2 linked regions of the Callithrix jacchus genome follow. Each later gene encodes a partner of the first gene's protein in a complex. Links are inferred from orthologs where the notes say so. Each region holds a gene or a part of one and is shown on either strand. Other genes may lie near its edges.

Region 1 (4,302 bases):
CCCATAGCACTCCTGCATTCCAGCTACAGACCTGGGGTCTTGTGGGTGTTCACACTTGGGGTTCTTGTGACTAAACTGCTAAAATGGTTCACTTGAGGGCAAGAAGCGCACTGCTTTGGGACATCTTCATTCATGCACCCCATCCAGTTGTGCCCAACGTAGAATAAGAAGTTGATCCAAACTGCATGGGGCAGAGTCCTGCATGTGCTGTTCTGCCAACAGCTGCCCTGCCAGTGGGGGAACAGCTCAAGCTCAGACTACCACCCCCTCCACCTGTCTTAGGCACGCTGGTCCTTAGGAGAAGCATTGACCCTCCACTCCCTCTTGCAGGTGTCCTCAAGTTTGCCCGCTTGGTCAAATCCTACGAAGCCCAGGATCCCGAGATTGCCAGCCTGTCAGGCAAGCTGAAGGCACTGTTCCTGCCACCCATGACGCTGCCACCTCATGGACCTGCTGCTGGTGGCAGCGTGGCTGCTTCCTGAGAGTTAGCCCTCCCTTGTGCCACTAACAGGGGAGGAAAGGCCTTGATGTTCCAGTCAATAATAAATGTGTCTGCGACTTAGCCTTCTTGTCAGTTTTCTTGTCACTCTGCCACCCAGGCTGGAGTGCAATGGCGTGATCTCAGCTCACTGCAACCTCCGCCTCCCAGGTTCAAGTGATTCTCCTGCCTCAGCCTCCTGAGTAGCTGGGACTACAGGCGCATACCACCGCGTCCAGCTAATTTTTGTATTTTTAGTAGGGACGGGGTGTCAACATCTTGGCCAGGCTGGTCTCGAACTCCTGACCTTGTGATCCACCCACCTTGGGTTACAGGTGTGAGCCACCGTGCCCCGTGTCAGTCTTTGTGGACCTGACAACCTCCCTCTCTCCTCCCCAGATTCTCTCTTCCTTTCCAGGCCGCATCCTCCTGAATAGCTCTTTCCTATACTCCTGGCTGGGCCTAACCCTGCTCCAGTGAGGGCTGAGGCTCCTCCCCTTTCCCCAGGGCAGGGTAAGAGGTTGGACTGGGCTCCTCAGCGCCCTGGGTGGGTGGGCGTGCACAGGGCGCACCTCCTTCTCTGAGGAATTGGGCTGTTAGGGCTTTTCCTTAGGCCCTTTGGTTTGCGCCTACTGAGAGATTTCCCCCATTGGTTGCTCTTCCCTCAGCCAGGGTTACTTCCTGGTCTTTGCCCCTACCCAACCTCCCGCCGCTCTGTCAGCTTGAGCTCCAGGTGGAGCTCCAGGTGGCTCCTCCTCTCCCGAGGGAAGGCAGCCCTGGACCGGCGGGAGGGCCTGCTGGACTCCCGCACTGGGGCTGCAGGGAAGCTGGCTGCTGTGGGCGGTCTCAGGCCAGCCCCGCCCCACCTGTCCTTTTCCTGGAGACTATTAGTCCAGGGTTTGTCCCTGCGGGGCCATTGGCCTGGCAGGCTGGATTGAGGAGGAAGTGACTGATTTCTGAGAGGTTCGTCCTCACCTGGCTTGGGCCACGGTGCACAGCTGTGCCACTGGCTCAGCCCCGCCCCCTGAGGCCCTCTGCCGTGACTTCATCCCTCCAGAGAGATGCTGTCCCGTGGGTAAGTTCGTGCACCACCTGGGTCCCAGTCTCCTGTTAGTTTTGGAGGGAGGGAGGCCTTGTTCATGCTCACTGCAACATGTGTGTGAGCCTGAGTGCGATCTGCCGCTGCCCTGCCCTGCGCCTGCTTCCTGTCCCTATGAACCTTCCCTTCCCGCAAGGTGTGAGGACCCCCGGGCTCATTCATGCCCCTCTGGCCCCTCTTTAACATTTTCCCCTGACAAGTGTATATCTCTTCTCTCCATTGCATTTCTACCTCCAGCCTCTGGGCTCCTGCTTCTGCCTCCTGCTTGGGACCTGTCCCTTGGGTAGTTCACATCACCTCAAACATAGCAGCAGTTAGAGGCCACCCGTGAAGGCCTCTCCTGCCCAGCCAACTTCCCTGCTCTTCCCATTATCTGACTTTGGTCCCATCTTCTTTCCGGTTCCTTTCACTTCCCTTTCCCTTGCATCATTCATTCATCAGATACGTGCTGAGCATCTATTGCACACAGGGTGCTGTTTAAGATGCTGGTAATACTGGAGTGAACAAGACAGACATGGTCCCTGCTTTCACGGAGCTTATGTTCCCATGGGAGGTCACAGACTGAACAAACAACCCAATAAATTGGATCATTGCAGATTCTCAAAAGTGTTATGCAGAAAATGAAACAGCCTCGGCTGGGCATGGTGGTCCACACCTGTGATCCCAGCACTTTGGGAGGCTGAAGCGAGAGGATTGCTTGAGCCCAGGAATTTGAGACCAGCCTGGCCAATATAGTGAGACCCTGTCTATACAAAAAATAAGCTGGGTATGGTGGCACACATCTGTGGTTCCAGCTATGGAGAGGCTGAGGTGTGAGGCTTGAGCCCAGGAGGTCAAGGCCACAGGGAGTGGTGATTGCACCACTGCACACCAGCCTGGGCAACAGAGTGAGACCCTGTCTCGAAAAAAGAAAATGAACCAGCTTCATGTGCTAGCAAGTGACTGGGTGTGCAGGTGACATTACTAGCTGGAGGGATCAGGGAGGGCTTCCTGAGGAGGTGACATTTGAGCTGAGACCTGGATGAGGAGGAAGAGGAGTTAGGCGTGGTGGAGAAAGAAAGAAAGAGAGAGAGGGAGGGAGAAAGGAAGGAAGGAAACAGAGAAAAAGAAGGAAGGAAGAAGATAAAAAAGAAAAGAATGATGTGGTGATCAAGAGTCAAGCATCCTTAGGCCGGGTGTGGTGGCTCACGCCTGTAATCCAAGCACTTTGGAGGCCAGGGCAAGCGGATCACCTGAGGTCGGGAGTTCAAGACCAGCCTGACCAACATGGTGAAACCCCGTCTTTATTAAAAAAAAAAAAGAGTCAAGCATCCCTGGGCAGAGGAGATGGAGCGCACAAAGCTCTAACGTGGGAACAAACAAAAAAAGGACAGTCTGCCTGTGATGCAGTGACAGAGGACCCTAGAGGAGCGGAGGCAGGGCCAGGGCAGGTTAGACTCTGTTGGACCTGGGATGGTGAAAGTGAAAACCTGGCCGGCCGAGGTAGCACACACATGTGATCCCAATTTGGGAGGCTGAGGTGGGAGGATCGTTGGAGCTCAGGAGTTTGAAACCAGCCTGGGCAACATAGCAGTTTGGGAGGTGGGAGGATCACTTGAGCTCAGGAGTTTAAGAGCACTCTGGGAAGCACAGGGAGACCTCATTACTACTGCTACTACTAATAATAAATAGCTGGGCATGGTGGCACACACCTGTGGTCTCAGCTCCTTGGGAGGGTGAGGCAGGAGGATCACCGGAGCCCAGGAGGTCAAGGCTGAAGTGAGCTGTGATTGTGACACTGCACTCCAGCCTGGATGACAGAGCAAAATTCTGTCTCAAAAAAAGAGAGAGAGAATGGAGAGAAAGGAAAAAGAAAGGAAAAAAGAAGAAAGAAAGAAAAAGAAAGAAAAGAAAAGAAGGAAGGAAGAAGGGAAGAAAGGAAGGGAGGGAGGGAGGGGCCAGGCGCAGTGGCTCAAGCCTGTAATTCCAGCACTTTGGGAGGCCGAGGCAGGTGGATCACTAGGTCAAGAGATCGAGACCATCCTGGTCAACATGGTGAAACCCCGTCTCTACTAAAAATACAAAAAATTAGCTGGGCGTGGTGGCACGTGCCTGTAGTCCCAGCTACTCTGGAGGCTGAGGCAGGAGAATTGCTTGAACCAGGGAGGCAGAGGTTTTGGTGAGCCAAGATTGCACCACTGCACTCCAGCCTGGTGACAGAGCGAGACTGTCTCAAAAGAAAAAAAAGAAAAAGAAAAAGTGACAACCTGCTTACAGAGTACTGGCGAGTTTGTGGGTGTGTGGCTCCCCAGCCCTACTGATTCTTGCTTCTCACACTCATCTCTGCTCCTGCCCCAGTGCTCACCTCATCACTGTCTGCCCCACCGACGGGGTTCCTACTGAGTCTTCTAGTCCTGAATCCCTTCCACGGCCATTTTCCTCCCAGGTAGCTTGGCCAGGCCTCCCCTTGTGCAGATTCCATCCTCAGTTTCTCAGCCTGGCCTTGAATGACCCTCTGCAGCAGGGTCCCAACCTCTCAGAGCAACTTTGCTCCAGCCACATAGCTCTGCTCACAGCCAGGCACTGCGCACATGAACTCTGTGCATGCCACCTCTTTGCCTTGACACATGCTGTCTCTGGGGGAGCACTTCTCCCTCCACCTTCCATCATGGGCTGTGGCAGTGCCCATCCCATCTGCCCCCTGATGCCGTCTGCAGCGGTGTAGTTGGTGGTGAAAAGGGCACCA
Region 2 (4,340 bases), about 8.6 Mb from region 1:
AGGACAATAGTCTCCCAGTGGGAACATGGATGTGCATGCCCTCCCTATGTATCCCTGAATTGGAAAGACTGCTCACAATCCACAGCTGAGAAGGGTGAGGTCAAGATTCGAGGCTGTTTCAGAAACTACTGTGGAACTAAAGTCAGCAAACCTCTACTGCTGACAGAGATGAGTGAGTCACACAGCAATTTCCTGTGATTGACTCAGGCCACAGTTGAGAGGGGTTTGAGTGAAGATTCAGGGCCATTTTAGTATCTTCTATGGGACAGAGGTCAGCAAGCATGCCCCGGGAGAACAGATGTATGTCTTCCAGGAAGTCTCTGTGGGTGAAGGACTGATCTCAAGTTGTGGCTGATGCTAGCTAAAGCCAAGTTAGAGGGTTGTTTCAGGATCCACACGGAGACTACAGTTGGTACATCTACCTCCTGAGACACTAGTGTGTGGGTCTCCTCCTGGACCCCTGGGAAAATGGTTTTGGCAGCATGACCAAGGCCTAATGGGGCTAAAGGCAAGTCCACAGGAGGATGGGTCCCTTTTCAGGTCTGGAGATGGAATCACCATTGGCAAACTGCCACTTGGGTGCAAATCTATTCTCTAAAACAACCCTCCTCCTCTGTCTTGGGTTCCACTGGCATTTTACAAACTCCTACTTGAATTCCGAAACTCCCTCAAAGGAACTTTTGTCTGTGGTTGGCTGGAAAATTATTGTTGCTGAGGGGTGTATGTGTGGGGGACCACCTATTCTGCCAATTTGCTGACTTTCTTCCAAATAAGATTTTAAACTTATTTTTTCCCCATACATACTTTGACTTGAGTTTTTGTCAATTACAACTAAATATTTCTATTAAAGTTGAGATAATTTGTTATGGCAGAAGATGAATAAATGAATAACATAATGAATAGCTGCTCAGTATTCCAATCTCTGGCATGATGATATATTTCAAAATTGATTAATGCTTTATCTTTCCAAGATACATTTATTTTTATCAAGAGCAATCTGAACATTAAATAATCTGCTTAAAAAAATAAAATTAAACACAAGAATTTAAGAACTAAGAGAAGTTAAGACTATAACTTTGGCAGTGATGATTTTTGTGCCAGCTACAATCAATTGAGTAATTACTGCAGTAATTTCTCAGGTAATTGGTGAAAAAGATCAGTAGATATCAGTTCATAATGTTACTATGAGTTTTAGAATGCTTTCCCATTATAATGGAAGTGACATAATAAAATAATATAAAGAGGTATGCAATGTTAAGATTTAGCAACCTAGTTTAAAAGATACTCTTAACAAGGTGAGCCTTGGCAATGTTTGTGATCAAGACAGAAAAAAAATTCTCAGAGGCACTTGAAAAATGGACCAACTAAATGACACTTTCAAAGTCAACCTTGTACTTTTAGTAGACCACATTATCCTATATTTTGGAGGTGTGTGATGAAATAAACTGATTTGAAATAGCCCATGTGTAGAATTTCCTGTTCAAACCTTAGTAACACGTTGATAAGAAATCTACTATTTCCACTCTTCACTCACTCTGAGTCTTCACGGGGCAGTCTGCAAAGATCACAGACACTGTTTGTTCTTGTCCTGGATTTATGCCTTTAATTTCACCTTTTATTACTCAACTATAGCAGGCCTTTTTATGAGACTAACCTGGCCTCTCCACTAAAGGATGTGTGACTTTCTGGGGACAGAAGGTATGTGTTGCTACTCTCGAACGCGCTACTAGCCTACCTCATTTAGTGGGTGATTATAAGTGCTCAATATGATGCATCAGAGCTTTAATTAATATACAATAAAATCAAAGTAGAACATTGCTGTCTTCATTTGAATAACTAAGGTTAAAAACCTAAAAAATTAAATATGTTGGAGGATTTCTTAAAGTTTTTAAATTATTGTTTGTGGAAAACTAGTAGGTCTGTTTAATATAATTTAGATGAAACCTATTAACATCACAATAATGAACAATTAATTTTATATTTTATAATCAGTACATCATGTAGCTTTGAATAATCATAATTGATATTTAGTTTAGCCATTATAGATTATTAAAATAAATTAATCAATTGATGAAAGCCAAATACAATTTCTCAGACACATAGATTAAATAAATAAAAGCGGTTTTTATTTTTAATAAAAATCAGAATGAGGTAGATTACATAAAATGCTAAAGGTAATACAAAAATCAAAATACTTTTTAAAAATTGGTCAAAATATTGCAAAGAAAAATGTAGCACACGGACATAGGAGACTTATCTGAAGATTTATTTTCCATGCTTTCACTGACATGAATCAGAGACAGTAACATAACAATTGTTACTATATAATAATCAAAAAGCTAACGCTTATTGAGAACTTTAAGTGCCAGGTTGAGTGGTAAATGTTTTACATGCAACGTTTTATGTGTTCTTATTCCCGGTTTAGATTAACAATCTGGGTTATTAAACACAGAATAACTTTTTAAAGGTCACACATTATAAGTGTCAAAGCCAGAATTAATTCTAGATCTCACTGACTCCAGAGCCATTGACTAAACGATTTAATTACATTACCTGAAATTTTACAAGTGCTTATACAACTAACGTAGCCATTACTCACTTTGGCAACCGTAAAATGTTTCTATAAGTTTAAATGAAATGTGCTTTAACATAAATTACCTATACTTTCGTTTATCATTTTATGGTTTATAGTTTATCCAGGAAATAACTTGCCAACACTTCCATCAGGTAAGTATTAGCAGTTTTTGTAGTGTTTGTAACACTGTTTAGGTTATGAATAACTTAACTGTTGCATAAGATTTTCCGATATATACAAATATTGAAATTTTCAATAATTTCTTAAAATGTTTCAGCCATTAAGAGAAACCCATTTAATACCCCATCAATTTTAATAAATACGTGTACATTACTAAATAAAACGTATTTATTGCAAGAATATATATATATCACCCTTACTATTAATCATGTGCAGATCACATAGTCTAAACATTACTGGATTTCAAAATTAAAATAAAAAATGAGTGCAGAAGTATCTATACTACAACATTTTAATTTTTAATACAAGTTGTGTTTGGTATTATGTTAAAATATATCTGTGGCATCAGACATTAACTAAGAAATATCTTTTCATTCCTGAACTTCTTTATTCCTTACTAATGTATTGCTTCTCATTGCCCCAGCAATAATATTTTGTCAAATGTAGAAAATCTTTTTTTTTTTGAGATGGAGTTCCACTCTGTCACCCAGGCTGGCGTGCAATGGCGCAATCTCAGCTCACTGCAACCTCCACCTCCAGGGTTCAAGCAGTTCCTCAGTCTCAGCTTCCCTAGTAGCTTGAACTACAAGTGCATGTCACCACGCCCAGCTAATTTTTGTATTTTTAGGAGAGATGAGGTTTCACCATATTGGCCAGGCTGGTCTTGAACTCCTGACCTTGTGATCAGCCCACCTTGGCCTCTCAAAGTGTTGAGATTACAGGCATGACCCACTACGAGCTTGGCCCTAGAAAAATCTTAAAAAAAAGCCAGGCGCGGTGGCTCAAGCCTGTAATCCCAGCACTTTGGGAGGCCGAGGCGGGTGGATCACGAGGTCAACAGATCGAGACCATCCTGGTCAACATGGTGAAACCCCGTCTCTACTAAAAATACAAAAAATTACCTGGGCATGGTGGCGCGTGCCTGTAATCCCAGCTACTCAGGAGGCTGTGGCAGGAGAATTGCCTGAACCCAGGAGGCGGAGGTTGCGGTGAGCCGAGATCGCACCATTGCACTCCAGCCTGGGTAACAAGAGCGAAACTCCGTCTCAAACAAAACAAAACAAAACCAAACAAACAAACAAACAAAAAAAAAAACTATTTCCCATAAGAAGCTTGTTTAAGCTGGAAGAAAATTAGAGAAAGAACTTTAGATTCTTCAATGCAAAATTAGCTCTAATACTCATTCTCCACCTCACCCTTTTAACTGCGCTAGAGAGCTTGTATACAAACCATTTATTAACTTCTTAACTACTCTTATTATACAGCACAGTCCCTGACATCACACACTGCAAAGATGGATCACCAAGGAGTGATCTACTCCGACCTGAATCTGCCCCCAAAGCCAAAGAGGCAGCAACGAACACCTAAGAGCAAAGAAAGCTCAATTTTAGTAACTGAACAGGAAATAACCTATGCGGAATTAAACCTTCAAACAGCTTCTCAGGATTTTCAAGGGAATGACAAAACCTATCACTGCAAAGGTAAAGCATTGAAAAGCTCCTCAGTATAACAGTCTAGGATGTGCAGCTTGGGGTACAGGGATATGTGGGGAAAGAGCAGGGAGTGCTTACATATTTTCTATTTG

Evidence for each region.
Region 2: the proteins of PTPN6 (region 1) and KLRC1 are in contact, whole or in part, in an NMR structure (PDB 2YU7), measured with the Homo sapiens proteins. The link is inferred for Callithrix jacchus from reciprocal best matches to the Homo sapiens genes PTPN6 and KLRC1. Residues at the interface, in NP_002822.2 of Homo sapiens: Gly117, Gly118, Glu121, Arg136, Ser138, Leu139, Ser140, Val146, Thr165, His166, Ile167, Lys168, Val178, Gly179, Gly180, Leu181, Glu182, Ile199, Glu200, Glu201, Ala202; in NP_002250.2 of Homo sapiens: Ile38, Thr39, Tyr40, Ala41, Glu42, Leu43, Asn44, Leu45, Gln46, Lys47.

What each region holds. Positions count from the first base shown.
Region 1 is NC_133510.1:21,210,796-21,215,097, forward strand, and holds the start of PTPN6 (tyrosine-protein phosphatase non-receptor type 6), read left to right. Parts: upstream 1-1,379; 5' UTR 1,380-1,539; coding exon 1,540-1,553; intron 1,554-4,302. Other genes in the region: C9H12orf57 (protein C10), read left to right, coding at 331-482. UniProt on the Homo sapiens protein: Tyrosine phosphatase enzyme that plays important roles in controlling immune signaling pathways and fundamental physiological processes such as hematopoiesis.
Region 2 is NC_133510.1:12,586,440-12,590,779, forward strand, and holds the start of KLRC1 (NKG2-A/NKG2-B type II integral membrane protein), read left to right. Parts: upstream 1-1,519; 5' UTR 1,520-1,673; coding exon 1,674-1,698; intron 1,699-4,020; coding exon 4,021-4,236; intron 4,237-4,340. UniProt on the Homo sapiens protein: Immune inhibitory receptor involved in self-nonself discrimination.